Linked DNA regions of Nothobranchius furzeri. The protein of the gene in region 3 purifies or fractionates together with the protein of the main gene of each other region. This does not show direct contact. Links are inferred from orthologs where the notes say so. Each region holds a gene or a part of one and is shown on either strand. Other genes may lie near its edges.

The links.
Region 1: the proteins of dyrk1ab (region 3) and kiaa0232 purify together in Homo sapiens (affinity purification with mass spectrometry; 3 studies listed by BioGRID and IntAct, with this or other methods). This does not show direct contact. The link is inferred for Nothobranchius furzeri from reciprocal best matches to the Homo sapiens genes DYRK1A and KIAA0232.
Region 2: the proteins of dyrk1ab (region 3) and rbl1 purify together in Homo sapiens (affinity purification with mass spectrometry; 3 studies listed by BioGRID and IntAct, with this or other methods). This does not show direct contact. The link is inferred for Nothobranchius furzeri from reciprocal best matches to the Homo sapiens genes DYRK1A and RBL1.

The regions. Positions count from the first base shown.
Region 1 is NC_091754.1:63,555,003-63,566,025, forward strand, and holds the start of kiaa0232 (uncharacterized protein KIAA0232 homolog), read right to left. Parts: upstream 7,570-11,023; 5' UTR 7,296-7,569; intron 2,419-7,295; 5' UTR 2,099-2,418; coding exon 1,862-2,098; intron 1,766-1,861; coding exon 1,625-1,765; intron 1-1,624.
Region 2 is NC_091743.1:73,518,157-73,528,626, forward strand, and holds the end of rbl1 (retinoblastoma-like protein 1), read right to left. Parts: intron 9,566-10,470; coding exon 9,378-9,565; intron 9,263-9,377; coding exon 9,086-9,262; intron 8,549-9,085; coding exon 8,477-8,548; intron 8,401-8,476; coding exon 8,313-8,400; intron 6,822-8,312; coding exon 6,673-6,821; intron 6,569-6,672; coding exon 6,404-6,568; intron 5,286-6,403; coding exon of another isoform or gene 5,268-5,285; exon of another isoform or gene 5,200-5,267; intron 5,124-5,199; coding exon 4,929-5,123; 3' UTR 4,721-4,928; downstream 1-4,720. Other genes in the region: c3h18orf54 (lung adenoma susceptibility protein 2), read right to left, coding at 151-295, 1,512-1,679, 1,866-2,019, 2,653-2,787. UniProt on the Homo sapiens protein: Key regulator of entry into cell division. Directly involved in heterochromatin formation by maintaining overall chromatin structure and, in particular, that of constitutive heterochromatin by stabilizing histone methylation.
Region 3 is NC_091753.1:50,167,347-50,177,159, reverse strand, and holds dyrk1ab (dual-specificity tyrosine-(Y)-phosphorylation regulated kinase 1A, b), read right to left. Parts: upstream 8,889-9,813; 5' UTR 8,751-8,888; intron 8,308-8,750; exon of another isoform or gene 8,148-8,307; intron 7,216-8,147; 5' UTR 7,159-7,215; coding exon 7,149-7,158; intron 5,707-7,148; coding exon 5,510-5,706; intron 5,276-5,509; coding exon 5,183-5,275; intron 4,834-5,182; coding exon 4,645-4,833; intron 4,455-4,644; coding exon 4,307-4,454; intron 4,208-4,306; coding exon 3,921-4,207; intron 3,777-3,920; coding exon 3,630-3,776; intron 3,409-3,629; coding exon 3,268-3,408; intron 3,162-3,267; coding exon 2,858-3,161; intron 2,687-2,857; coding exon 2,562-2,686; intron 2,420-2,561; coding exon 1,832-2,419; 3' UTR 1,609-1,831; downstream 1-1,608. UniProt on the Homo sapiens protein: Dual-specificity kinase which possesses both serine/threonine and tyrosine kinase activities. Exhibits a substrate preference for proline at position P+1 and arginine at position P-3.

The DNA.
Region 1 (11,023 bases), on a different chromosome or scaffold from region 3:
TAAAACGGAATATGGTGAAGCAGCGGCAGAGTGACACACACACACACACACACACACACACACACACACACACACACACACACACACACACACACACACACACACACACACACACACACACCATAGGTGATCTTGATTCACTACCAAACTAACTGAGCCATGTGGAGATCCGCTGTTAAGCCTGGTTCATGCTTCTCCGTCAGCTCCAACAGGGACAGACACGCACGGACTGACAGAAGCGTTTTGCTCTCATACTTCTCCGTCTCCTGGAGAGTGTTGCAAAGCAATTCCCCGGCGCTCGCCACCTCTAAACCCACGTTTCCTGTCATTTCTGTCCACAAATACAACACATAAATAAATATGCTTTTTCGCGAGGTATTCTTCAAGCTTGTCCGTGTCTGCCGCTTGTTATCCTCGACTCTCTTTATGTTTTTGAGGGCGCAATGGCGGCGGTGTAGACGACAGTGGCGTCCTGACCAATCACAAGCCTGCGTTGTCCGTCTCGACTGACGGATGTTTGGACAAGAGAGCTCGAGTCCGTCTGTCCTTGCGCAGCTCACCGGCAGGCCCGCAAGGACGTTGCGTGTCTCCGCGCTGACGCAGACGGAGAAGCATGAATCAGGCTTTAGTCGTAAACACACCCACAAACACCGGATCAGGAGGACGACCACGTTACAACACAGGACCCCCCCCCCCTTCAGCCACCTTGTGCTGGTGGGTTTCTGCCTTTCACAGCCTTGACTTCTGGCCTCAGGGGAGAAGTTAACTACTCCTGTTGCTTTTGACATGAATGCAGGCGTCCTCGTCTCGTCTTTAATGAACATTGAAACTTAAAATCTCACACAAACATTAAGTGATGACCCCGTTACAACTTCCTGGTCATCAACGTAGCTACGGTCTAAGTGATGGTGCAGCTTTAGCTTCTCACACCAAACCTGCATTACTTGCTGCCAAAATACAAATACTTGTGAAAATTTCATTTGACAGTAAACGAGAAATTCTTCTATCAACAGAACATTTTCTGTTCTTTACTACAGGGTGTCTGCAGGTTTAAGGGAGCCAAATTTAAGACTTTTTAAGACCTCTACTAAGAACAATTTGACCAAATTTAAGCTATGTTTTCTAATTAAATTTAAGCTATAATTTCCAGCTATTGCCTGATTAGCCATCCAGTTACCATTGAACTTGCACTTCCCCATGGCGCAAGCTCCCACTAGCTTAACCAGCTAATGTGCTCATCTAAAAATAGCCCCCTTTCACAACCAGCTGAATGTGTACGGTTCCGCTTACGCCAGCGTCGTACACAAAAAATGCTGAACACTAACTAGAAATTCACGAACATTTTATAGAAATAAAAGAATCTTGTTTATTGGCTCTTTGGTCATTTAAGACCTTTGGAAACTGGATTTAAGGATTATTTGTCATTTTTAAGGATTTAAATTTGGAAAAGCAAATTTAAGACTTGTTAAGGACCCGCGGATACCCCGTTACTAAAGGTCGCTCTTTAGCGTGTAAAAGATCACTTCACTCACAAACAACCCTGACAGAATACTTGCTAGCTAACAGCGCTCCTCAGACATTTTGACAGCACAGGATTTCAACAGTCAGGTGAAGCGGTGCTTACTTCATCGGATGCAGAGCGGAGGCATTGCACTGCGGCTTGCTTCTTCATTTCCTCTAGACTCAGGTCGGTCCCGCCTTTCTTCTTGCTCTTGCCCCATTTCTTCCCAGTTCCCTTCTCCCATCCCAGGAAGATGTCGTTTTCCTGTCAGATTAAGAGTTTCAAAGATCAAAAGCTGTAAAAACCAAACACACTGCAGGGCCGACTTTACACACACAGCTGACAGGTGTGGGTACCCACCTGGTCCTGCAGGTCATAGTCATAACTGTCATGCAGCAGAAGGCTGAGAACGTAGCGGGTGTAAATCATGGCATCAATCCCGCACTTCTCCAGCTCCTGGCCAAGCCAGCTCTGAACTGGACCCAGCGACTGAAGCAGGGACATCTCTGAGGCAGGAAGGGGCCCCGCGAGGGGGTAGGGGCAGGACAGGTTCTCAGGAGGAGCAGGACCGTCTGAATCGGTGCTCACTGGACGCATGGGACCTCAGGTGTTGGCCATTCTCAGGCAGAGAAGCATGGTGACAGTAGTTCCTGTAGGGCGGTGGGTGGAGAGGAGCGGCGAGGCAGAACCTATCTGGATGAGGGGGCTGTCACTCCAGCAGGACGGACTGAAGGGGTTCTACATGGGGAGGATTTTTTTTTCTTTTTATTGCTTAAAGCAAAAAAAGGTGATTTTACTCATAAGGCATGGCTTATGCTGCTGAAAGATCTCAGCTGCCGAGCAGAACTCCAGACGTGTTCCCGTCGTGTTTAGTCAGCGGGGTCCATCTTGGGACTGTCTGACTTCACCGGCACAACCTGGAACACAAAACAAGCGCGCCTCAGTTCAAGTGCGTCACTGTGATGCTAATAAAACCAGACATATCAAATACTTCATGAAATAAATATTTATAAATAATCTGTGTGATTCGAGAACCCTGAGAAGTTCCAGAACGTGGAACACATTAGAAGTTAAGATCTGAACAGTTTAAAGGTGCAGTATGTAAGAATATAGAGAGGATTTTACAGTGAGATAATCCCAGAAGTTTCTGTCGTTTCAGCAGGAGCATGTTTCATATCCAGCTAGCTGTGGTCAGTTCCTCTTTTCAGAACAAAGGAAGGAGGGACGTAACGACTGTTAACCATCAGTGAGTGTGGGGGTGCCGTGTCTGCTGCGAGCTCATGCTTCAGCACCCAAAGTGTTGGTTAAAGTGGTTGCAGTAACCCCAGGATGTCATTTTTACTTCATTTCCGCATGATGCACCTTTAATATGTGAATGGACATCTGCTTTCTGCTCAGTAACGTTGCATTCTGACTCCAGTTCTGCTTTCATTTAGGAAATCTTTTTGTTTAAACTTTAACAGAAATGAATTCCTAATCATTTAAAGGTGGAGTATAAAACATGAACACCACAGCAGCATCTAGCTTAAGGAGGCTGCAGTTGCAACAGCAGAACAACGTTTCCAGCCGTCAGGACAGCGGCTTCACTGCTGGTATGTGAAATGTTTCATTTGGGTCCATCTGTGGAAGGCTTCACCTAGACTCACTCTGGTTTTAGATCTTTTATGGTCGCTCCTCTTCTGAGAACGATAACATCCTCTGGGCTCAGGTCTGCTGTTTTCCACAGAGCTGTGCCGAGCGACCTGTTTGGCAACACAATGGTGCCCTCTACTGGCTGGTAGATGCAAACATACACCCAGGGCTGTGCCCGTCAGAATAAATATTTGATTTAATTTTAATTAAAATAGGTCTTTTAAAGGAAACACTGTACCTTCATTCTGCACACCTCTAAACGCCCCGTGGAGGTTAGTTTCAAAACATTAAGCAGTACCATTTTCAGCCTTTATTAACAGAGGACCTATTCCTGAACTATTAGTCACCATTTGTTTTATGTTTATACAGTCTGACCTTTCCAATTTTTAAAAAATGCACTTAAGCTCAGGTCGATTAATGAAAAACGCTTGATAGAGAAATCTGTTCAGGGTTTTTAAGCCTTTGTCCAAATCCAACTGAAACTTTTAACGCCCCTGCTCAGTGGCCTAGTGGTGGAGCGTCTGCTCTGGGACATCGGGGTTCAAATCCTGGTCGGGTCTTACCAAAGACTTTAAAAATGGGACGCAATGCCTCTCTGCTTGACACTCAGCTTCAAGTGTTTGTATTGGGGGGGTTAAACCACCAGTTATTTCCTGAGCACAGCCGCAGCTCACCGCCCCCCATGTGGACGGGTCAAATGCGTAGCTGTAATATCACCAGTGAGTGGTGATGATGATTATGGGATGTAATTAAAGGAGAATTTTCCAGGCCGATTCATAAAAATGAGAAAATTATTTTTAAAAGATTGTTTCCTTTCATCGTCTCAGTGCCATAGTGATGATGAGTTTCAGTGTGAAACAGTCCAGCACTTAAAGAACCGTGAAAACACCTGATTCACCTGCTTCTGGCTCTGGGGTCAGATTAAACCAGTCTACTGTCATTCTTAGATCCAAATGCGACTTCAGCTGTAAAACATAATCGATTATAAATGATAGGACAGGTGTCTCTTTGGCAGCTGCAGACCCCTGAACTACCACGGATGTCTATGACGTAACAAACTACAACACCTACGTCATTTAAAAATCAGCTGTGAGGGGGCAGATGAAGCCATGCGTGTCTCCCGGATACCAGAATCCGGTCACCGGCGTGCAGAGCAAATGTAGGCTGCGGGGACGTGATTGGCTGACCGGAGCGTCATTCTGTGGCGTCATTTCAGAGTGAAAGGACAGGATAAACAGCTTTACCGGTGCGCTGCCCGACACTGCTTCATCACGTTTACCTGCGGGTCAGAACCAGGGGCAGACTGGCCATCTGTGGATTCTGGAGAATCACAGAACGGTCGGTGGAATGGCCCACCACTCTCCACGCATGCTTTCAACACCTGTCCCCCCCCCCAAAGTTCCTTCACGCTCCTGCACTCTAGGTGGCAGCACTGCACCTCTAAGTTGGATGCCAGCTACATTGGCTGTGGCCGCCAGGCAAGGAGAAGAAGAAGCTGAAGCGGAGAGGAGGCAAAGGCAGTAGAAAAAAACGATGCAAAACCCGGTGTCGATACAGGATCGGCTCTGGGTCCTTCGACTGCCGATGACGTCAAAGTACGGCAAACCCACTTGGACAAAATACACTACACATCTATACTGTTGGAAAGAATTGAGCAGTTTCAATATTAAAATAATGTTTCTTTAGACGCAAGTTTGTGTTTACAATGGTATTTGTAAAATAAAACACTATATTGTATTCCCGAGCGCAGCTTGTCTGCAGCTCACCGCTCCCCCAGGGGATGGGTCAAATGCGGAGAATAAATTTCGCACACACACCTGTGTGTGACAACTAATGGGACTTTACCTTTATAATGTTGAACTCCTCTTTGAGCACATCCCTTGAAGGATCATAGGTATTAGCAACACCTGTGAAATTGTGTTTGCAGGAAAGAAGTGTGTCCCGTTTATTGAAGTATTTTGTGTTTAGAGTTGTTGACGTCTTGTCCATGTCCATGTCTTGTCCGTAGTTCAGTTACGCTCATAGCTGCTAGCCAAAACTCTGGAGTTAAAAGTTTTCTGCATTTACTAAAATACCTGTCTGTACTTATTTGATTGATGGTAGTTTTACTTTCTATTAGACTCCAAATGTAATCATTTGGCACGTTTCTAATTCATAATTTGTAAGAATGTAATCGGTGATGTTAGCATTAGCATTCCTATGGGTTTTTCCATGTATATTAGCATTGCGCTAACCAATCGCTGCCAAATTGCAGCCTTTGCGATTAGAAAATCCCCTTTTGTCACATCGCAATTTAATTGCACATGCAGTAATCGTTCAGCCCTAATATACATGCAGCTCTATGCTAAAAGTGTATTTTCAAAGAGGTAATGATGGATTTCTTTGTAAAAGTCGTCCATCTTTCTTGCCTGGACCAACGTAATGTGATTACGTAATTCTGTAAGGTTCATGTTCAGCCAATCAACTACTTTGACGTCATCGGCAGTCGACGGACCCTGAGCCGATCTTGCACCCGAGCGGATCCTGTACAGACACCAGCCGCTAGTATAAAAATAAAAAATAAGGAAAGAAAAGGGTGGGGCTAAGGTGGGCATTAGATGCTGAAGCCTCTAAATGTCACAAATTAACCAACATATTTAGACGCACAGCCAGCAGCAGCACCTCGCAGCAGGTTCACAGCAGTGAAGAAGTCAGGCAGATAGCTACACAGCAACATGCCAGCAGTAATGAGGCGCTGGTTCCACAGGCAGATCCAGGGGAAGTAAGAATGGAATGTATGAGGAGAAACATTTGCAAGGATTGATGTTAGGAATTCATGTTTAGGTTGCTATTTTATTTCATGATAACAGCCAAATTTCAACATTTTAGCTGTAAAAGGACACATGCAGTGGGTGATAAGAAGTATGTTGTGGTTTTACGTAAAAAAGGTTGGTAGTAGTGTTCAAGTACTGCTCACAAACTTTGAAAATCTTAAATATAGAAGTTACATTTATAATGTTGCATTTTCATTTAGATGTGGTATTATTTGTGCAGTAAGAAGATTAATTACTGCACAAATTAAGCTTATCAGTAATACAGCTTTTAATACAACATAGTCAACATTAGCGCTGTTGCTATAATTTCGATGGTTTGACCACATTTTTTTGCTGCTGAATTTCCGCGCGCCGATTACTTTGGGCCGGGCCTAGTCAAAGTCCAGGACTGTTTTTTAGTCCCAGTCCGTCCCTGGTCAGAACCGAGCCCTGTCGGGTTGGCCGGGCAGACGCTAAATATGGCTGACCAGCTTTCCCAGCCAGCTGTTGTCTTGGATTAGCCACCGCGGAGATCCTCTCACCGACAACTTCATTCAATGAGCTCCTCTCCGCCTACGAGTGGCCGTTACATCTGCTTCAGCCTCGCAGTGAAAGGTGGAAAGCAGGAAAAAATAACATGACATTGGTTAATATTAATACATGTATTTAAACCAATAATGTAGCTGTTTACACATACAGCTGCGACACCGGTGAGATTGTGTAACAGTTGCAGTCTAATGGGGGTTTTAAACTTGGGGCGGAACTATTTTGGCTCATTCTGCAGGCTAGCTGGACCACCGACCTTTAGCTGACGAGCTAGCTTAGCCGATTAGCTTCCCTGAGCTGTTCCGTTTTCTGACACTGATGTTTGACCCTTTCGTCACGGTTATCTAACGGGGGCTCTTAACGTGAAGCTGCACCGAGGCTCGCGGGTTTAGCCAGGTCGTTTTCCCTGTTTCTGCTGACATTAGTCACACTCCGCGGTGTTGTGACGGACAGGTGACCGGAGGCTTCTGCGCTGCATCAGAGATCCGACGATGCACTAAAAGACGACAGAGCCCGGCGGTGTTGGGCCGAACGCGCAGCCCCAAACAAACCACATGATCGCGCCTTACGACCAAGCAGAACAGCGCAGGAATGTGTCGGGGTTTGAACCATAGCTAATATTAGCTTTCACGGAGCTCCGCTTGTTGTTGTGACCGAAGGGGGAGGAACAGCGGCAACCCGGTACCAGAGGACTGTCAGGCGTTTTTCCCCCCTGAAAATGTGCGCCATGTCGATACGGCGAGACCGTAAACAAATTCAACATTACACCAAAACGAGAGCTGGGGCTCGCAAATGCGGACCAGAAGCCCCATGCCGGCTCTTACCTGCCGTGGCCTGAAGTGGAGAGGAGCAGCGAAAAGGGAGCGGCTGTTTCTCTCCCGCTGCCGTTCCGAGCTCAAGCTCTGGAATCCGCTGCGGCAGCAGCGCGTATCATGGACGCCGACAGAAATGGCGCTGTTTTCACGTCTAGCGCTTCTTCACCAGCGTCGAGCGAAGCCGACGACATTCGGGCTCCAGCCAGTGAAGGGTCGTTCCTTGATGACAGGGAACGCAAAGCGCCACAATGTCCGCCGCCGGACGCCAGTTTCATTTGGAGTGCGCCACCCTCCGCGTTGGTATCCTAGCAACAGGACGAAGCTCCGCCGTCCTGCTGCCGCTGATCGGATCCCTCCGCAGGAGTGTTGCATCAGAAGTCCAACTAGTACTCATTTCTGCACTGCTAAATTTAACTGGACTCTAGGCAGAGTAACCGCAAAGAACCAGTCAGTATGTAAACATGCAACTCACATGATGTTTGTTTTTCACGCAACAACAGTAGAGCTTCATGTTTGAATAGTAACAAATGTAAGGAATGGAAATCATTAAGGCCCGATCCACACAGACTAGTTTACATATTCCACATATCTGTAATTGAATCCAAAAGCCAGAGTCACGCTATGACCCAGAATAGATACAGCACGTTTTCCTTTGTTTCTATTTGTTGTTATGCATGTACTTTACAGTAAATAACAATCTCTTCTAGATCCGATGCCTTTCCTAACTCTGCAAACATCTTGTGTTTGAGGCTAAAACAGGATGTGGCCGCTCCTGGACGTACTCAGGCAACTTACACTCAATATCTTCTTTATTTCAGAAATATGTTCAAACGCATGCTAAAACCACACAGCTGCCATTCGGTGCATTTAGGCGCACGTGGAAACTGTTTCCCTGCACCAGCACACCTGGTGTGAGTCAATGGATGATTATCAGGCCTCTGGAGAACTTGAAGACATGCTGAACAGCTGATTAAATTATTGAATCAGGTGTGTTGGAGCAGGGAAACATGTAAAACATACAGGGGGCTGGTCCAACACGCCTGATTTGAATCGTTGGATAATTAGCTTCTGGAGAACTTGAGGACATGCTGAACAGGTGACTATTGAAACAGGTGTGCAAGGAAACATCTGTAACATGTGTCTCTAAATGCTTTCATGTCGATGTGGCTCAAAATATCTGAGGAATTTCCATCAGGTTTGAATGATTGTAGCCATGAAGGGTTAAAGAAACTCTGAAGGTAAAATTTGGTCAGTCAGCTTCTGTTTTAACTTTTTTCTTCATCGGTTGTTTTCACACAACTAGACAAAAGCAAACGCTTTTGTTGCTCTGTGTTTTTGAGGCATTTTGATATTTTAGTTGAAACACAGCTCTGGTGAACTTTGCACGCAGTCTGTGCTCCTCAGAGTAACATCAGCAGATGTGAGCCAACAAATGACTGAATCAGGCTGTGTGATCTTAACAAGGCTTAGAGGGTCCCGTAGGACCCGTTAGCAGATAAATATTGATCTGTCTTTGATCCTTATCTGGAGCCAGAGTAAGACACCCAAAGGCTGACCTCAGAGTTCAGAGACACCAGGAAGTGGTGAAAAACATCCCAGTCGCTAATAAAAAAAAAGTCTGCCCTGCAAACGTTCAGCTCTTCCTGTAACGGATCAGATCTGATCTGAGTTTCAGCCACAATCGCAGCAACACGGCATAACTAAACTTTTGCTGAGCTATCTGCTCTGCTCCTCGCTCTGACTGCAGTCTCATGTTCCAAGAGTTAACTGAAAGTCCATTTGAAGCACATGGCTCTGGTAAAAGATGTCCCACAATCCTCTTCCAGGCAGGGGCCGGTGAAGTTATGGTGATTTCACTCTGGAGCTTTAAAGACCCAACAAACACAAAGCTCCACCTATAATAACTCCAGCATCACTTCAGACAGGGACATTAAACTGAGACGCTGTTTTGTGTTGTGGCATGTTTTGGTAGTGATAGTCCGGTGTTGGCTCACCAGTCCAGTCCTACCTCTTCAGTTTGGAGTCAATCTAATCCAAGATGGAAGCAACAACTAATGTTGGTCAAATTTAAGGGCTGCATCCTTCAAAAGCCGATTACGTCACAGAGATGCAACAAAGGTCGTCCAAATTCTGAGGCTCCTTGGTAAATGGTCTGTATTTGTATAGCGCCGTCTTAGGGTTCTACAACCCCCCAAGGCGCTTCACTACAGAATCAGTCATTCACACGCTGGTGGTGATGAGCTACGATGCAGCCACAGCTGCCTTGGGGCGCACTGACATAGGCGAGGCTGCAGAGCACATGCGCCACCGGTCCCTCCGACCACCACCAGCAGGAAAGACGGGTTAAGTGTCTTGCCCAAGGACACAACAGTAGAATTCTCTGGTCGGGGCCTACTGCTGTCCTTCAATGCATCCTTGTGATTTGAACGATGGGACTAGTGCATCCTTCTTGGCCCTCCTTATCCCAAGATTCATTGTGGGCTGAAGTTTTAAATGTGTCCTAACCTCCTAGGACCCTGTGTCCACACGCATGGACATTGGCTCCTTGCACTAAAAATGCTTATTCTCTTCTACTTAGACCTTTTTGTTATTATTTAAAGACACTTTATATGACTTTAATTTAAATTTCTTTTTGTTGTCTCTTTTTTTTAGTATATTTGAAAACATTTTTATTTATTGAATTAAAATCGTTGTAACTTTGTTTCTGTTAATTACAGTCGACTGATCTGTAATAGCTAGATATGTTTTTTCTTTTACATCAAACCAAATGCAACTTTTGGTCTCAGGAGGTTAAAATCTGGGGTATAAAAATTTAAAAGCTTCAAATGATTGTGTTGTTAGGTTTGTGTCATTTGCATAGTTTAAAAAATGTCAAAAGGCTTGACAACTCATCGTAAATGAGTTGCACGGTGATCGAGAATCCAATAGAGCTACATGGAACATTTGTTAATCCAGCTAGCTCACATTAACAGTCTAACTTTGGTTAACTCTGTTAGCTGAGTAGTTGTAATTTCTCCAGAATACACGCTTGTATAAGAAACTTATAACACTGGATTTAAGTGGGCCAAGTCAGTATTAGCTTAGTTATAAACAGCACGTGTGTCCAGCCTCTAATCCACCATCACGCAACCATAATGAACACGTTTGATGGTTGCTCAGTGTGTTTTCCAGCGGTGCGGTAAAGCGGAAAGACTCCACACTAGTCCAGGTCAGGACTTGGACCATAACGGAGCTCTACACATGGGACCAAACCAAGCAGGCGACCCTGACCAGATCAGATGTCATTTTGAACATCTTAGGTGTGTTCTTGCTGTGTCGTGGTTCTAATTCCATGCTTTCGTTCTTTTTAAACACAGAAACAGTTTTGTTTACCTGTTTTGTAGCTACAGTTTCGCCGACGGCTGCCGGCTTCTTCAGGCTGACGCTGATGGTGGCGCGTCACTTCCTTCTCCGTTTATCTGTAGCTACAAAACAGGTAAACAAAACTGTTTCTGTGTTTAAAAAGAACAAAAGCATGGAATCAGATGTCATTTTGTTGTATTTCTGTGGTTTATCTCAGGCACCTGAAGCTAATCACATGCTATCCAGATAATCTGACGGATCTCATTAAAGCTATTTATCATCATCGTCCAGTCACACGTCAGCTCTCACAGGGACGGATGTCTCCTGAACATCAAACAGCAAGTGAGTCTCTCAGCTGACACACTTCTCACACTAACTAATCCTTTTTAGAGAAG
Region 2 (10,470 bases), on a different chromosome or scaffold from region 3:
CTCAGTCTTTTCTCTCTTTATTCCTTAAAATGAACACTCGCCAGTTCTACAGCTCTTAATTCATGTGGAAACATGAGTGAATAAGTAGACATAATAAATACACCTTACTCATAACAGAGGAATCATGTTTCATCAACAGAAAAAACAAACCTGGAGCTGCTGGGAGGTCTGATGGGATCAGAGGTCTGGTTCAGGTGGAAGGGAGCAGCCCGGTTATCGAGTCCTGCGCTGGTTCTGTGTGCAGGTCTGAAGGTAGGGGAGAAGGACCGAGGGGCTTCAGACCAAGATGGGAGGCCTGAAATTAGAGAAACAAAGATGCACAAACAGAAATTAAGGCTTTTACTGCTTTCATTAGCTTTTTGTCTTTTGTTTCAAGTAACATCAAATATTTATAGAAAAAAAGGTTCATAAATCAAACTGATGTGGTTCACCATTTAATCAATACATCTGCAGTGGTCTCTAGTAGGAATGAATGCCTTGTAAGTTTTACTCTGGGGAAACAAAGCTCCAGTGCGCCTGTTTGAGGAAGTAGATATCAGCCACATCAGAGCTGTGCTTCAGATGACAGGATTTAGAGTGTTATTTCCTGAAATCTCTCCTCTGATTGGCTAACAGCAACGCAACTCTACCACTGACTCTGTTTGCTCTGCAGCGTTGATGTTTTATCTCCACAAACACAAGACTGGAGGAGTTCTGCTGAGTGGTAGAGTTGCTAATGCTAACGGTAAAAAAATAATAAAATGTCCTGTATAGCACCTTCTTGGGGTTCTACAACCCCCAAGGCGCCTCACAACACAATCAGTCATTCATCGATTCACACACACACTCACACACTGGTGGGGATGAGCTACGTTGTAGCTAAAGATGCCCTGGAGCACACTGACAGGGGTGAGGCTGCTGAACACAGGCGCCACCGGTCCCTCCGACCACCACCAGCAGGCAAGGAGGGTTAAGTGTCTTGCCCAAGGACACAGCAGCAGCAGTCTCTGGTCGGAGCCGGGATCGAACCTGCAACTTTCTGATTACTGGACAACACACTCTACCTCCTGAGCTACAGCTGTCCCCGTTAGCTTCTACTAGCTGAGACGTTCTCTGTTGTTTCCTGGACGCTAAACCAAAAACAGCCTTCCCCTTCGTAAGTCAAGATGGGTGAGTCCATGAATGTTAGGTGACAGTGTGACGTAGATCTGTCAGGATTTTCTAATCCTAGAGTTTCACAGTCTGTTTTCTATCAGAAGCTAATGCAGGAGATAAGTGTAGGAGACTATTTTCATGTTCAGCCTGCATGAAAAACTGTTAGAATCAGAAATAATCACTAAAACATTTTTTTCAGTGTTCCCCACCTTTAAGATTTAGATGAATAACAAGAATAAAGAACCACAATTTATTTTAAATAAAAACTATAAAGTTTAACCATCAGCATTTATTTATGTGTCAAAGATGAATGTAAGAAAATGTTAAAGATACGTTTTTCATTCCTCAGACAGAAAAAATGAAGAGGATGTTATCACCTTGTACGAAGGCAGATGTGTGAGTAACAGGCATGGACCCATCGTAAGGGATGGACAACAGTTCGTTAGTTGTCATGGAGTATCTGTCACGGTTACTACGGTGATGGAGGGAGCTCACAGGGAGGTTCAGGAAGTCCAGCTCCCTGTCTGTCAAACGCTCTCTGAGAACTGCAGATAAAAACAAAAACTTTATCCAAATTTAACAACAAAACAAGAAGAACATGAATTCTGTGTGGCACAAGCTACTACGAGGACCTCACTTTGTATAAAGTGATCTGTGACCTTAAATAAGACATTGTGCATTTTTATTATTTAATATCAAACCGCTTAGAATGGCTCTAAGCTGTGTCCTACCGTCTCGGTTTCTGAGTGAACCCACTCTGGGTTTGGTTGGTGTGTAGGGCCCATTGTGAAGAACCAGACTTCCTGTTAGCGACCTGCATTTCTGACAACTCCTGTCAAAGTCTGAGATGTAGGCGTCCAGTGCTGCTGAGGCTGAGTCATAGTCCTGCCAACAATCGATCAATAATTATCAATGTTAAGGTTTCCCTTTTCCCAACAACATCAGAATACTTGCATATATTACAAAACTAGAGTGAATACAATGTTACTAACATGACAAGAATTACTTTAAAAAAATCAAGAAGAAAAAATAATTCCTGCTTTTATTTAAGTTAAGTGAAATAGAATTCCAAATGGGCTGAATATAACAATTAGTAATGAATTGTGATTTTATCAGAATTTAATTTTCCACATGGAAAGGAGCCAGCTAAGATGGCTCGGGTTAGCCTTGCCTAACCCTAACCCTGGATGCCTCACTGGTGAGGTCCAACCAAGAGGAGACCTAAAGAGAGATCCAGGACATGCTAGAGGGACTAAGTTTCTCAGATGGCCAGGGAACGCCTTGGGATTTCCTCAAAGGAGCAGGCCAAAGTGGCTGGAAAGAGGGAAGTCTGTGCCTCTCTGCTTAAGCTGCTGCCCCGTGACCCAATCCTGGATATGTGGACAAAAATAGATGGATGGATGGATTTTCAAACTTGTATAAAGAATAAAGTCATTGTTTATTAGAATACCAGCTTGGCTGCTGCAACAAAACCAACACAGAAGACTCTGTGAGAGGCAATAAGAGCAGAACATGAACCTTGTCTCGATATCTGATGGTTGTGTCGTGTTCAGGAGGCCTCAGGCTGCTCCTCAGGTGACCTGAGCTCGACAGAAGGGAGGTCACGGTTGACTCAGGAGATAAACAGTCATCTACCAAGCTGCTCAACTCCATGCTGGTGAAAATAAAAACATTTCAAGGTTACAGTTTTGGTAAAAACAACATTTTTTTTCTAAGATAAGTTTTAACATCAGAACAAAAGGTTTTGAAAAAGCCTTTGATCCTCAGCAGATCTTAAAAATAAATCCAAGATGGGTCTAAGCTTCAGCTTTCAGACAGATTGATATTCATAGCTACAGAATGAGCCCAAACCATCAACCCTCCACCACCGTGCTGACAGCTGGTATGTGGCTTTCTCCCACCGGCTCCTGTGACAGGTTTTTATACTATTTATAAGTTGGTCTTGTCTGTTCCACTGTGATTTTGTTCAGATGAAACTAAAAACTTCGTCATCCTGCAACCATTCCAAACAAGTTATATTCTATCAAAAGTTATTTAGCTTTAAACTGCAAATTAAGATGTCTTTTTTTTGCTGAATATTATCCATCTGTTAACTTTACTCATCGCCTAATGTCATTATATCAACACAACTGACACATATGGTGGCTAGCAAATAACTAGGCGGTTTCAACACGATTATACAGACAAAAAAGCTTGTTAGCTGTGATTTAGTAAGAGGAAAAGAGCTAACAAACTTAATTTCAAAAGTTAGCTAAACTTACGACTAAATAGCACCGGCTAAACGGAAGTTTCAAAACAAGCTAACCATCAAACGGAGCTACGAGACGATTTACTGTCCTAAATGTCTTCGTGTGTGTTCATGTAAAACGAAGAGCGTTTAAGAGACATTCAAGGATCCCGGGTGAAGGTAAACGGTTAGCTGGTCCGAAATCAGTTCATCATGTACAGTCTATGGTTCATCCTGATGGAACTGGCACGATGACGTCACTAGCATCCAGGCGGAAGTTCATAAGAATTTCTTATCTTTGTTTTGTTTTGTCAGCATTTTTATGTAATGGATTTTAGTAAAACAAAATCTTAAAGAACAAACAAGCTTCCGTTTTATTTTCTTGTTTTTAACCTGGCTGGACACGTTTGGACTGCCCCCTTCCCTTTCCTAAGTAATGGTACAATCCACCGCAGGATTTTTTTTTAATGAGAACTTTATTGAAACACAATTGTAGAGTTCAGAAGATAAGACGATCGCTCTTACAGATTTCTAGAAAATCATACATAATTCCTGAAGGGGGAAAACTCCATATTAAAGCTTTAATAGTCTGGGTGGGTAAATGAGGGACAACAACTCTTTGAACAGTTGATATTTACATTTTATTTTACAAAACTGAACAGTTTATAGAAACACCTTGATGTTCAAGTTCTGAGAAGATTCAGACATTAGTACACGCTTTTGATTCAATTTCAGTTTACACAAAAGTGTGTTTTAACCTACTTTACAAGGTACCAAAGCTGATAATCAAGTGTTCAAATGGTTCGTTTTCACCAGCGATGTTATTACAAGAATCAGAAAAGCCTCAACAGTGATTCTGTTAATCAGAACAAATGCTGTAAAATTTTTGATTTGTTATAAAATGTGTGTAGATACCACACACACACACACACACACACACACACACAGTAAATTTATAGTTAGCATTAAGAATATTTTCTGACAGCATTCCACAACATTTATGGTTTAAAACCGCGTTTAGAACATATAAAACACAATAACACTGAACTATTTAACAAACTAAATAACAAAAGTAAAACTCCATAAAACACTTCACATGTTTGTGGACCTTTCAAATAAACCTGATATCGTTCATTCCTTTTAATAAACCAAGAGGTGAATATTCTCTTTGACACCGTTCTTTGTTTTTAACAAACACATCAGAAATGCTGCAGAAAAATCAGGAAGGTTCAAAAGCATGTGGAGTTTTACTGTTCTGGGCTGCGAGGAGATTAAAAAAACATAAAACTGTATTAAAAAAACAATAAAAGAGTAAAAATGAGCATATATCAGTTTTTAGGATGGATTAAATGTTCTGGTGACTGCTCTGACTTGTGGTTTCTGTGATCATGCTCCTGGTAACAGTCAGAACTTTGAAGTCATGGTTAAATTAAAATCTGCTTTGTGTTATATAGAAACCTAAACCACACCACCTGGTCTCTAAGGACCTGCAGGTTGCAGCAGAAAGTCGTGTCAGGATTAGATCGGCTCGCGGCTTCCCTCTGAGTATTTCAGTTTGTTGGTTTCATCAGTGACTCTGCCGCTCGGACACGACGTCCTGCAGACGCTTCAGCAGAACGTCTGGACTGCTGCCGTTCTCCGGACACGCCCGCTTACTGGGCGAGTCGCACATTGGTGACATCATCACATCCCCTTCCATGTTGAACGCCCTTTTCCTGTTCACACATCCCTGTCGGATCATCCGGTTAATGTCTGACAGGTCCTACAGAGGAGACAACAGTTAGGCTTTCCCAGTTTTTCTAAAATTTATGAAATAAGTGTTTTTTTTTTAATGCCTTAATCTTACTGGGCTGCAAATGTCGGCAACAATCTTTGGTTTTCTTGCTCGAGTTACAGAACCTCACAGTCATGCTGCTGGGATTTTCTAAATATTAAAAATAAATCATTTACTAAATTTCCCCTTAAAATAGTTCAGAATTGTTGCAAGGATTGGAAAACTCCAACGCTTTTCAGTTCAGTCACGTCAGAAACTGGGCCATAAATGGGATTTACTGTTTAGTATTATTACCGATTCAGCGCGAGTCCAACTAAAATAAGCTTCCAGTTTTTTCCCCTAATTTGTGTCTCCAGCTGGTTGTTGACAGAGGTTTATAGCAGAAATAATCTTAATTTCTTTCAATTTAAAGGAGTGGTTCACTCATTTAATCAATACATTTACAGATTATGTTTATGTTTATTCATTTAGCAGATGCTTTTATCCAAAGCGACTTACAATTTCAAACCTATAGGGCATGTTGTGATCTGTGGGGGAAACCGGAGTACCCGGAGGAAACCCACGCATGCATGGGGAGAACACGCAACTCCACGCAGAAAGGCCGCAGCGGAGTTTCGAACCTGCAACCTTCGTGCTGCGAGGCAACAGTGCTAACCACTGCGTCACCATGCAGCCCACAATGGTCTCTGGTAGGAATTAATGCCTTGCAAGCCGTACTCCGGGCAAAAAAAGCCCAGAAATGCTTGGATCAGCACCAAGTCTGCTGCAGCAGAGAGTTGCTAATGCTAACGAAATGGCAGAAATGCGTCTACCAGCCAAGATGCGCTCTGCTGATTCCTGGACGTTAAACCAACAACAGCCTTTCCCGTTATGAGTCAAGATCATCGACATAAATATACGGTCAAGATGGGTGAGTCCACGAAGGTTAGTGACAGTGTGGCGTAGATCTGTCAGGATTTTCTAATCCTAGAGTTTCACCGTCTGTTTTCCATCAGAAGCTAATGCAGGAGATAGGTGTAGGAGACTATTTTCATGTTCAGCCTGCATGAAAAACTCAGAGTGACCCATTAGAATCAGAGATAATTATTAAAAATGGTTTTTCAGAGTTCCACACCTTTAAGGAATTTAACTTTTTTCTTCAAATGAACTGAAATTCTAGATTTTATTTTAATAATGTGCTGTTTAAAAAAATCATTAATCAGCTTGAAACAAGACGTAAGCTTTAAGTAGCTCACAGTGTGTGTGTGTGTGTGTGTGTTTATACTTGCCTTGGAGGGGCTGCTGTTGATCCTGTAGGTGAAGGAGCTCGGTGTGAGACAACCAGAGGAATTCTTGTGAGGGGACACGTACAGCGAGTGTCTCTGACTGACTCGGCGAGGAGACAGAGGCTGAGCTCGGACCGACGGGAACGGAGACAGAGGAGGAGCGTCTGCCTGGAGGATCCAACAAAGTCACACCAAGAATGAATTAGAGACACCGCAGCCTCAGCCCAGAGGCACATTGTTAGAGCAGAACGAACGCTGTGACGATGTTGTACCCGATTATCGTTGGTGGCGTATCTCAGAGCGAAGCTCTTCATCTTCAGGATGAAAGTGGTGTTATAAAACTGAATGAGGTCACCGCGTTCCTCCTCTTGTGATTGGCTGGAGTTGGTGTCACCTCCAGCCTGACTGGTTTTCTCTGCAGCTGAAAAAACAAATAAACTCATTTAGGGAAAATAAAACTTTAACTTTGATGGTGGTTCTTATAAATGCTGGAATTAACTTTATACTCAAAAATGTATTTTTTAAATGCATTTTTATTTATTTAATTTTCATCTTACTCAAACTAAAGTGAATACATAATATACAGCCACAGTCTAAGCCAGGGGTCGGCAACCCGCGGCTCTTCCATCCATCTGATGCGGCTCTCTGTGCTTGTAAAATAATGAATGGATATTTAAATAAAAAGCTTTATATTTTACTGCATTAATTTTACATCTGTATGCCAATTATAAATGTAAAGATTGTCTGCGTAAACCTGAACAGGTCCAACCCGGTCTTACTGTGAGACCGGGTTGACGGGTCACGCTTGTGCGTAATCATATAGGCGCATTCTGAGCTGAAGACAATGTGAGATTCTGGGCTTCTCCTCAGACGGCCCCTGGATGTGTCGCCACACTGGAGACAGGAACAAACGCTATTCAGCCAAAGTTTCATCATCAGGGAACATTTTCTAAGAGTCCAGCTCAGATGTTCAGATGGGAATCTTTTCTTGAGTGATTTAGCTACATCTGTGATGTGCCTAACGAATAAAATGTCAGTTCGTCTGCATGCGTTGGGGTAATTCTTTCTATTCTTTCTCCGTCAAACAAACGGCCAAATACGGAAACTGTCCGGTCAACACAACACAAGCCCTGCTTTTAACTGTTCTGTTTTCTGGTGAAAATTGTTACAAATTTAACTTGATTAACACCAGAGCCAGGCGCACTGCGCCGTTATCTCCGTCACTGTAAATGAGGGGAAAACAAATTGATCGGATCCTTTTCTGACCTTCCCCACCTACAAAGTTTAATTACAACAATCAAACGTGACAGAGCCTGGATTTGTATTCTGAACAGTCTAAACATGTTTTAAAAAGAAACGTACAACAAAAGTGGCACCTGCTCAGTAAAACCACCAACAGGGTGAAAAATATCAAAATACTGTAGGCAGAGACGGGCTACAACTTCTGGATCCATTTTATATAAATCATTTTATTGATTATCTTCTTATGAAAGACAGCTTTTATGTACACGAGCGACCGGTACTGGCTGCTGTCACCTGTTGTGATTGGTTAAAGCAGCTCTCTGCTGTCTGAGGGTAGGCCCCGCCCACAACGTCGCGGCTGCTGTGGCTCCGTGTTTTCTTTACTGTGGGAAACGGGTAATAATGGCTCTTTGATGGGAACAGGTTGCCGACCCCTGGTCTAATCAGTCATCTATGTATTATTTTATGCGACGTTCATGATGAACCCTGATGAACTTTGCTGGCCAAACCTGGAAAATCATTTGTTAATGTTTATGTATTTAGTCTGAAGAGGCAAACATCAGTTTTCTAGCTAAATAAAAAAAAAAAAAAAATTGACCTATATTTTTGGCTAAAATGCCTTTAGAGGAGATCTAAATGTGTTTGTATGGAAGCGTGTGTCTGATCTTACATTCTCCACCCGACACAGCATCCACCTCCATGTTCTCGTCAGCTGGCTGCGCTTTGGGAGTCCGCCGTAACAAGACGCTGCGGTAAACCTGATCACACAGACAGCGTAAGCCTCCAGCAGATGCGAGGTGTAACTTAGATTTCAGCGGTTTTTGTGTTTCTCACATGGCTGCTGGCTTGGGGCTGGCTGCGGTAACACTTCATGATGTCCTGGAAGGTGTGAGTCTCTTTGGTGATCTGAGAGGAGAGCATTAAAGCCGTGCTTAAAGGAACATAAGTTACACCAGCTGATCCAATAACCGACCTGCCAGGATTTTTAGCATAACCACAGAGAGCAGAATCCTTTTAATTCATAAAATCTATAAAACGAGCAGCTTTTCTATGTTTGATAACAGGAAGTTGCACCCAGGGCATCAAGGACAGCTCGCTTTTATTAACCAATACACATTTTTGGTCTGTAATATTTTAGTGGAGGCTTTTAAACTGACAGCAGAAACTCACTGGCAAAAAGGAGCCCAGACTGGCTGATGTTGTTCGTCATATAACCACTGTTTGGATCTCCTCATCATTAAAGTGAATCCCAGAGTCCTCAGTCTGACTAGTTGTGTGTTCGGCTGACTTCATTCAGCCTGAGAAGACGTTTGGTTCTTGGTTCGTTAACGTGTTGCAAATAGTTTCTCTACGATCGCGCAGAAGCTGCTGTTCAGTGAAACACTCTGCTGGCTGGCATTTTCCTACACAGCTGCTTCGTTAACTCTTAGTTATCGTTCTTACTTTGGATATTATATAAATGCTGCACAGCAGCAGCTGGTCGAGATGTCGATCCTTCATCAGCTCAGTGCAGTGAACCAGCGCGTGCTCAAAACATGTCCAGATTTTTCCTCGCAGCTCTGAGGAGATTTCCAACTTCAGGCACAAATCCCTCAGGCGTACACTGGCCAGGTGATACACCTGGAGGGAGGGGGAGACAGAGAGAGAGAGTTAGTCAGAGGAAAGACAAATGTCCAGCAGAAGATAAACAATCATCGTTTATTTTTTTAAATAAACAAGTGAAAATCTTTCTCACCTTCCTGAAGAACAGAGCGATTGACCCGGTGCATCGAGGCCGCCCGTTCCCCATCTGAGGGTCAGAGGTCGAGGCAGCAGTGAAGTTCCGGCTCGGAGAGGCGGTCAGCAGAAACTGAGCTGTGACGACGCCAGAAGAGTCACACGGCTGGACTGGGATCAGTGTAATGGTACGGTCGCTGCTCACGCCTGAAAATATTCACACAAGAACAGATGCTGCAATCAAATTCACATTTTATTAACCTCCCAGGAGCTTAGCTGTTGTAACCTTTGATTTATATATACTGTATATATATATTAGGGGTGGTACTTTAACGTTAATTATGATCAATTAATTAGAAAACAATTATGTGTTAAAAAAATTCACACATTTAATCACAACTTGTATTTCAAGCAAGGCGGAACCTTTGTCCTTGCATGATTTCCTCGTAGAGCGAATATCACTGACACACAACACAGTGCTCTGATATAACGGGTACTAAAACAGAAAGAAATCGTCTCGCTTGGACCAATGCAGTATTTGGGAAACACGTCACCCTCTTCTCTTAACTTGTTAAAAACAAAACCTTCCTGACAACTACGGAGTCCGTGTCGCGGGCAGAGATCGTCTCTGCTGCTGCTGCTGCTGCCCGGTGGCACCGGAAACTTTACAAAAGGTGAGATAAGCTATATTTTTAACATTTATGTAACATTTGTGCAGCTTTGAGGGCACTTTTTCCCGAACGATTAAAATGCGACTAATTAGAAAGCCTCTAATTAACTAGATTAATTATATATATATTATATATATTATTATTATATTATATTTTTATATATATATATTTTTTTACTGAGAAGCAAAACATTTTTTGTGAAGATAATCAAGTTTTGAATCAATAATCCTAAAAATAGCAAAAAGAATGATTAAAAATAACAAATCCTAAGTCAGATGTTCAGAGCTTTATGCTGAGGGTCAGTTACTATCATTTAATTACAATAAAACAAAATTCAGGAGTTTCATTATATGTTAAACACATTTCTGCAAAGAAAAAAGACTCATTTAGGTGAAATTAGTAACTTGATCCGTCTGCTGGTTAGGGTTCTCAGTCATCCAG
Region 3 (9,813 bases):
TACCCTGGCAAGGCAACGACAAAGTCTTGCTTCACTTCACGGCAGAAACTAGCTTAGTTGACCAAATGATGTATGAAAGGCAGCAACACCCTTTGAAATAGTATGATGGGGGGAGGGGAGGGGGAGAGGGGAAATAAACAAAAATGAAAAAAAAAAAAAAAAAGAAAGAAAACGATGACAGAAATAGAACGCATTAGTCTCCTTTTTTCGTTTAAAACCATCAGCCTCTATCTCGCTACTCCGGAGCCTGCAGAGTAACTACCAAATTTTCTAAACATACTGAAGTTTTAAAAGACTCCCAAAATAATCTACCAATTAATATGGAAACAGTTTTGGTAAAACGTTGCAAACAAGTCTGGCCAGAATACACAACAGCCAACGATCTCGACAACGGTCTCCAGTTTTGCTAAAGGAATATATTGCAGCTGTTTGTGTTGACGTTAAAATAAGATCTTGATAAAGTTTGCGTCAAAGTGGTGAACTGCTACATTATTGGTTACAGACACCTATATGCTATAAAACAACTGCTTTGGTATAAAAACATATCCAAAGGGAAAATAAATTCTTGTAAAATTCACAGCATAATTTGAGGAGAAAAAAGGCAGTCACTTAACTCTTTTTTTTTTCTTCAGTTTCCTTGTTTTAGATGGAGAGACTTGTGCAGGTGGTTCTGATGAGGGACTACATGCAAAAGGGGGGAAAATAAAAACATAAAAGGGTAGACTCTGGAATAGATAGTTCTTTCCACTGCAAAATCCTTAACCAGTGAATTTCAAGGAAGTAATGTTTAGGAGGTTGTTGTGTACAATAAGACCCTGTTATGTGGGGCCCTGCTGAAGACGAAATCTTTGTCAAGAAAGGCCTCAAATTACCATTCTTATTTACCATTTCTACATTGTTTTAATTTCCTTAAAGAATTAAGGGCTGTCTAGAGAGAAAAATAGAGAAAAGCCATCTTAATTCGAATGATAATGTCCATCTCCATTCCATTCCAAGTCCATGAGTCATAAGGCCAAAGGATTATCTAGAACCAGCCACTGACTTGTCTTCCTTTCCCTGGGCCGGATCCTTTCGTCTCCCACGCCCATCGCTGCTCTCGCCTGTGCCGGGCCCGGTTGCAGCTTGCAGGACCACAGGACCTCTAGGCCTACGGGGTGGTGCTTCCCTCTCCTTTAACCCGGTTGGTGTCAGCATCCACCTACGGGGTCTTCTTTCCACCCGGCCAGCACACGCATAGGGACTCCACTGCTATGTGCTCCCCTTTAACAGAGTCACACAAAACCGACCAACAACAAGAAATATCACTGCAAACACTTCCCCTCGTTGTCAAGCTACAGGATTTACAAGCAGCTCTGATGTGAAATTTCACAAAAAAAAAAAAAAAAAAAGAGGGCAAAATTAATTACCAACCAGTGGAACAATAATGTCAGGCGCTCCACGGTTTGAACCTAAAGGACACCAAGCATTTCATCACCAACAGCTCGCTGCAGATCAGCTTCAAACTTTGCTCTGAAACGCTCCTTAGAAGGTTTTGCCACATAATACCATATGGTGATTACTTCGTGGTTACATGAAACTGGTGAAATGGTAAGATGGATGTCTCAATCTCACTATGGTTATTCTGCAGTATTATTTTGTGCCTAATGATTGCAAAAGAAAAAACTGATAAAAATTACATATATACTTTTAACAAAGGTTTTTCTCTGTAGTAGCGGTTCAGTGATATCTCCCTTCTGACGTGAGCAGCTTTTGATCTCAACACACCTTGTAGTAAAAAACACCACCTTAAAAATGACGCACAGGGGGAACACACAGCCAAATGTCAGTGCAGTCACGAGCTGGCCATAGAACTCTGCTGCACACATACTCCAGTCATTGGAGACTCCTCCCGGTCCATGCCCTGCCTCATGCCCAGGTGACCTTCCGCTAGGTAATGGGCAGGCCCTGTGTTCGTGCCCATGGAGAATGCAGGGTGCGCTGCCATGCCAGTCTCCTGCCGTGGGTTCGAGAAGGCACCTAGCCCCATGCTCAGCCCACCATTCTGACCAAAGTCAAGGGCTCCAGCGGGTAAATGGCGGAGCTGGTAGGCCTGGTTGCCATGGTTACCAGTGGAAGAGGATGATGTAGAGGAAGAGGAGGCAGAGGAAGACAGGGAGGTCATGGACAGATGGCCATGAACCACCTCCATGGAGTCCTGTGTTGAAGAGCTGTGTGTCGGGGAGGTGTAGTGGCGTGGACGTGGACGAGTAGCCATCATTTGCCCATGGTGGTGATGAGTGTGTGAGTGGGGATGCAGGGCCTTAGGGTGCTGGGGGGGAACATGGAAGGTGGTCTCCTGAACTGGGTGGGTTTCTCCAGTGACTGACTCAGGTCCAACGCCACCTCCCCACACCAGCGGGGGCGGGTAAGGCTGCCTCGCCTGTAAGAGCCAAATAAATAAAATGAGCCAGGTGTGAAATACTTTAAGTAAATAAAAAGTATCTAAAAGGTTCGGTGCAAGTGAAGACAAACACTTTCCCACACAACATTAACCACGTGTTCGCAGATTTCAACTTGCTGACCTGTGGACAGAGGCTGTCACCATCGATTGCAGGCATCGTCGTGCCAAAGTGTCCTCCACTGTGCAAGTGGTGATGGGTCGGGTCTGATCTCGCTCTGCCACTGGTGCTGGTCCCAGATGATCCTCCTACGGGTTAAGTAGAAGTGACACAAGTACATCTTCATTAGCTTCATGTCAAATGCTACATCAACCTCAGCTTAAGCTCATAGAGGCAGAGCTCCACAACTGTGTGTTTTACAGGCTTCTAACACAGCTGAAGTGATGTAAAACAGTTGATTTGCTCTGTGTGACGAGTACCTGAACTAGAGGAGGTGCTGGAGGTGGTTCCAGAAGACTGTGACTGCTCTAATGCGGGGCTTGTAGACACACTACTGCTTGTATTGGTCCCCTCATCAGCAGTCTTCTTGAAGAAGCTGTGCTGCAGGGCATAGTAGGGCTGGATGCGACTCTTAGGGTCATAGTCCAACATCCGAAGGATCAGGTCCTTGAACTTCAAGTAGTCAGCAACAGCATGGCCGGACTCCCCCGCCCGTCGGCCACCGGGACCCCCTGTCTCCACACCCAGGATAGAGTGGAGTTTCCGCGAAGCTGGAGGCTTATACTGTAAAAGTACAAATAAAATATTCACCAGCATGTCAGTTATAATTACCAAAAAGTACCTTTCATTATATTCAGTGGTCCACATGCACACAAGAGAGAGAAGTCACCCTTTTGCCATCTTTGGTCTTCTTAACACTCCATGTACCATCAGAAAGCTTCTCGAAGAACTTCCTGGCTTTGGGGGCTAGGTCCATTATGTGATTAGGCGGGATCCCAAGAACCTCAACTATTTTGTTCATCTGATCCACCTGAGGAGGTGAGCAAATCGTGTTACTTCTTTATACACAATAAATGCTGTAAAATACATCATCTAAAAAACCAAATGGTTCAGAATGTTTTAAGGTTATGAAGTCTTCTTTTCTATCTCCAATGGTTACACAATCAGATTTAAAATGCAGACACAAGATGAAAGCATTTGTCATCCTTCACTGAAATATGACCACCTAGCTAATGTTTCAGATTGTTATACCTCATTGGCTCCACTAAAGAGAGGCTCTCCAGTGTGCATCTCCACCAAGATGCAACCCAAGGACCACATATCGATGGCCAGGTCATAGGGCATTCCCAGCAGCACTTCTGGGGAACGGTAGAAGCGACTCTGGATATACTGGTATATCTATACACAAAACACACATAAGGGACAAATTAAAAAAAATAAAAAAACGTAAAAAAAATAAATAAATAACCCACAAACAGTTACTTATTGACTTTATTGCACCCAACTGACTCATAGCTGATGAGAAATACTGCTGCTAATTACCCTTTGTCCCAGTTGGCATGAACTGCCAAAGTCCACTATTTTGATGGCACTCCTCTTTGGGTTACAGAGGAGGATGTTCTCGGGCTTCAGGTCACAGTGGATGATGCTGAGCTCAGGCGTGGCCAGGAAGAGTAGCGCCGTGCATAGCTGCTGGGCAAACTTCCGGGTGAGATTGAGCGAGACTCCGCGGAAGTTGGTATTTCGGAGCAGGTCGTATAAGTTATACGACAGCATCTCGAACACGAGGCAGAGGTGGTTCCGAAACATGAAGTGTCGCTTTAAATGAACTGCAGAAAAAGCAAATTATGTCCATGTTAGTCAGTAACAAACCCCCTGGCCTTTTATTTTTCTGATCAGATTAGATGCTAATTTCAAGAGTGGATTACCAATGTAGTATTTCATCTCGGTATCATGTTTGTTCATCAACTCCAAGAGGCGCACTTCTATCTGGGCTTGATTGAGGAAAGCTTTCTTGTTCTTGATGATCTTAATGGCAACCCATTCCTGCTCGACTCGGTCATACGCTTTCACAACCTAAACACGCCAACGACAAACAGTTTACAGTTTGCTCAGCATGAAGTTTTTACGGATTAGTTTTGATATTAACGTTTAGGGTCAATAATCACAAAAGAAAATGTACAGAAATGCTGGTTAATACTTTTAGAAAGAACATTGTATTCTTATGAATCAAATAAACGTTTGAGTGGAACTGATAGTGAAGCACCTGTCCAAACGATCCTTTTCCTATCAAGGAATCAATTTCATAGCGGTCCATCCATTTCTCCCCATTCTTGACGATGTAGTCATAGTTATCATCGTCATAGCCATCATTGAACACTTTCCTCTCCTTTTTATGACTGGAGTCTTCACCCTGACCCTGTTGGTGCCGTCGCTTCTTTTTTGCATAATACACCTGTAAGTTAACACATTACATCCCATAACCACACACACAAGTCTTTGACGAGCTAATGAAACACACAATGATCTTTGTTAAGTTGAATCTTCTAATGGATTATTTTATCATGATCTCACCAACATGACTTTGTTTTATTCAATAAAAATGCAGTAAATTAAAACATGTTGCATTTTGTTTCGTCTCAGCAAAAGTAAAAATCTAAAAGACATTTAAAAAAAAAGCTGCAGTAACTTTAATTGTAAGCATATCCAATATGATTAAAAGTATAGCTGGTTAACTCTTTCAGCTGCTAAAGTAAATAATTAGTTTAGATTTAAATGCATCAAAACAAACTAAAAAAACAAACCTCATTGATGTGTTTGTATGTTTTGATAAGGTCGATGGAGAGCTTCCTCAGGGGAGCTGAAGTTGGGTCACGAAAGCACTGGGGCATGTGCCTCTGGAGTGTCACAGGTAAAGTATTCATGAACAAAAAAACACACGGCAATTTCATAAGAAACAGCATCCTCTTGAATCATTGCAAGTAATGATGGTTAACAAGACGTGATTAAACTGAAAGTGACATTTGACATGTAGCTGCTCTGCCTAGTGACAGTAGAAAAAGGGAAGTAGGCTTTGATATTGGACCCAAAACTGTAAAACCTTGAGGAGCTATGTGGTGGGGTTCGTATACCTGATTGGCAGTGAGCTGTGGTGTCTGGTCGCTGTACGGTAAGACTGTAACAGATTGGTCAGTGCTTGGCTGGTGGCGGTCACTGTACTGCTGGTGCGTATGGGGCATTGGAGCAGCCATCTGAAGACCAGCAGTGTGTAAAGAAAAAGAGGGCGCAAGCCGGACGGACGAAGGTTTGCATGCTGAAGTCTCTCCTCCTAAGAGAAAAGAACAATGTTAGGGAATGTACTTTCACTTCAATCCCCAATATATAAACTGACAAATAACATTAAGAAAGAAAAAGTTTATAAAAAAATGGTATGTTATATTCTCATTTTCATGCTAAACATTTTTTGCATTACAGTTAAAATAAGTGTCATTCAGACTGTACAGATTTAATATAAACTTCTCATTTTTACTATTTCAAAAAAGCAACAAAAACCCTTTACACCTTTACAAAAATGCGCAATTTTCATTATGAATAAAATATATTTATTTATAACATGCATGTTAAAATAAGACAGGTCTTTAATAAATCCATGTTAGGAAAAAAAGGCACAGTATCTGAATTAATGTTTAGATATTGCATTTTAATGAACATGTTAACCAAATCTAAATTGCATGAAAAGGACAGCAAAAATAAAACAGCAGCAATGTATCAACCTTTGTGAAGAAAAGGGAGAAAACGGTAGGTTTAACAGTGAGAAGGGGCGAGAATACAGCATCTCCACACTGTACAGTGAATCATCCTTCATTTTAAGCCAGAAGGAATCAAAAAATTATTAAATAGCATGTTCAGCTATCAGCATCTCTCACCAGACAACACAATTCACCAGCGCTACACAGTAACCACTATTCAGAATCCCAGCAACAGCACCTAATTAGCATAGCCTATCACCACAGAGATACAGCGTGATTTGGCAAGCCCATCAATGCACAGACCAATCACAACGCAGTATGCAAATAGCCTACTTTTGTTGCCAGGGCAGAGCTGCTCCCATTTTCCAATGAGAAAACAAGAAATAAACAAGAAATAAAACTGAACTTTGGCACACTTAGACGTTGCTTTCAACACAAGAGCTTGACAGTAAAATAGCTGCACAGCCTAAAACCTGCACTTCATCTGAGAGCGTTAGAAAGCTGACCCAGCTTTGGAAAAGCAGAAAATACACATCCACTGACAGAAACAAGAGGAACTGTAAAGTGATAGAGCACAGACAACAAGGTATTTGAGAGCCAAGACGCATCTCTTTTTTCAGCCACTATAAATATGTTAAAATACACATTTATACCTTTTCAGAATGTAATTTAAACAAATTAAAAAGTGAATTACACTTAAGATTATATTAAATATTTGTTCATCTTATGAGCTCTAAATATATCCTTATTATCCATCATGTCTTTGTTACTGTTTATCCTGCTGTGTAAAATAAATGTTACCATTATAACCTAAATAACTAAATAAAAACTACCATCAACAATTTAAAAATAATAACTACAGTCCCGGGCAGTTCAGATTGTGTGACTTGGTCCTGCTCATGATGACTCATAGATGTTAAGTCTTGAGGCCAAATTCAAAACAGCAACATAAGTTAGAAAAGATCATAAGTGAACTAGTTTTCCCCAGCAAAGGGTTAAAGCCTAATGTACAGCTGCTAACCTGGATGCATCTTCTGTTTAATTTCATATCATCCTGGGAGGAGAGTCCAGCAGCAAACCACAACCCACTACAAAGAATAAAAACACTTTATTATAATTTTGCATTTTGGGTGGGATTTAACATCACTGAGATTAAACCTGAGTTAAGAATCAGTGACAGATGGCCACCAAAGATGATAAGGGACCCCCAAAAACTTGTAAAAGTGAGCTGGATGTGAATGCTGTGGAAATAAAACAACTTAAAGCATATTTTAAAAATGTGTGTTAAAAGTTTTAAATTTCAGGTTTTAACTATGAGCTGCTTGAGATTTTAATGAATTAAAATTCAATCGCAAAGCTGTAAAACGGTTAAAAAAATAAATTAAACAAATCAGAATTCACATTGTTGTGGGCCTTGAGGCTTTAGCTTCTTTTAGTATACTCTAGGGTAAAAATGTTATTTAAACGAGAATTTTAGCTTTAAATATACACCAATAAAATAGACAACTGTTCGTCTGAACACAACTATATTTAGTGTACAGGACTATGTAATTTTACAAAGAACTGGAGGGAAGTAACTAGTTTGAGAGTGCTTTACTTCTATTAGACAGTCTTGAGACTTGATTTTATTTAAAACGTTTAAACTAATTGTAATACAAGTAAAATAATAGTGGTACAAAATGCCAATTTTTAGCACACTTGTAGCTCTTTAGTCTTTTCCTAAACGTCTGCTTTATCTTATTCTTCAGTACTAAGAAATGAACAGTTCCTTTCTTGGCTCTGGTCATTATGGCATCTGTGGGCCTATTTATGTGTAAATATATCGACAGCTAGCTTGATATTAGAAGCCGAATCGTACAAAAGGATGCTTAAAGATCTCTGTAACAAGCCCCGTGTGTCATCCTCTCACGCCCAACTGATTAGATTCATTCCAAAGATGGATCAAACATAACCGATCCAAAACAATTAAATGCTAAACGTTCGCGGGGAATAAATATATACCGAGTCGGTCTGTACTTACAGATGATAAGGTAGATCTCGTCATGGTTGGAATTTAGAAAGCATATTCAGTGTTAATTTTCGTCTTCTCTTGCTTACATATTGTTCGTGAGGCAGTCCAAATCCTCAAATAGATGATATTCCCCGTCACGTTACCGCTAGCGGACTAACTAGCTATAACGCTGTCGTCGTTACCCTGAAAACTGCGGGGCAGATGAGCATATCTCTCACCAGCCCGACGTTAGCTAGTGACGCTGTGTGCAGCCAGCGGGCTATGAGGCCCATGCAGTAGATCAAATCGGGGAGGTAAGCTAACACGGCTTCAATCATACAATGACAGGACCCAATATAGCACGGTTAGCAGGAACATTAACACCGTGCCATCACGACTCTCCGTCCAAACTCACAGTCAGCTGGAAATTCCTTCACGTTCAGCATTAAAACCCGTCTCTTGACCTACTGACTGTAAGCAAACGTTAACCCTGGCTCCACAAAATCTCTTAGCCGCCACAACTTCACTACCGCCTCCATCATTGTTAACCATTCACGCTACATGGGACATATATACGTACGAGAAAAGCCAAATTAACGCAAATGTGAAATAGAACAGTTTGGATCTGCTTACCTCTAATGGCACGATCTTCATTTAAAGTCCAATAACCTGTATGATGAGGAAACTTATCCAGCTTGATTCTCCACCTCCCTGCACGGTTAGCGAGTAAATCCAATCCCCCGTCCTCTGGCCGGCTAAAATAACTCACCAGTCACATCTAGTACGCGCTTCATTGTCCAAGCCTTGCTGAGCAACATCCGTGATCGAAGTAATTTCATCAAACGTTACTATCAGCTGATGACCAACAACATGCTAACTAGCACGGGTAACTTACTGGCTAACCTTAGCTGGTTCACAAAATGAAGGCAGCTAACATCAGCTAGCTCCTTTGACTTAGCCTGAAGCTAACGATTCTAGCCACCGCTAAATAAACGTTATGCCAAATTCTGATTTAACGCTCGTCTTTGCGACTGAAATGTCGGTCACCTCGATGAGCGGCGACAACGCGATTACATCTAGTGCATTTTAAACACTAAGCAGAAGCCGTGTCCTCTGATAAATTTTGGTTTGGAATTTTGTGTCAATTTTCACAAAATGGCGCGCGGTCCAAACCTGCGCAGTGAACCGGCCCGGTGGACCAGAGACACGGACAACTGAGTTAGTGCGGCACCGCCTAATTATTTCAACTAGGTTAAAACGTCGGGCTCTTTGTCTTCTTAATAATCCGATCCACTAGACGCATCTCGATATCCAAAAACGTCAAAAATATATCCACTGACAGCATTATTCCGGCGGGAAGGGAGAACATTTGAAAAGACTGAGCTGGGGGGGAAAAAAACCCTCCTGACAAAATGGCGATGCTCTAGCTTGTTGCTATGGAAACTGTCAATCAAAAAAGAAAAAAAAAGAGAAAGAATACCCGGATGTGCCAATGACGAATAAATTCGGAGCTGGCCAGAGTTACAGCGCACACAGGAGTCCAGCGGTGCCCCTCTCCGTGTTTTTAACCTCATTCGGCCTGTTGCTATTTTTTTTGGATGACGATGCTTATTTTATTCCGATAATATTTCACTATGTGGTGGTTCCTCCTCAGCATATTTTAAATCCAATAATGATGATGATGATGATGAAAATA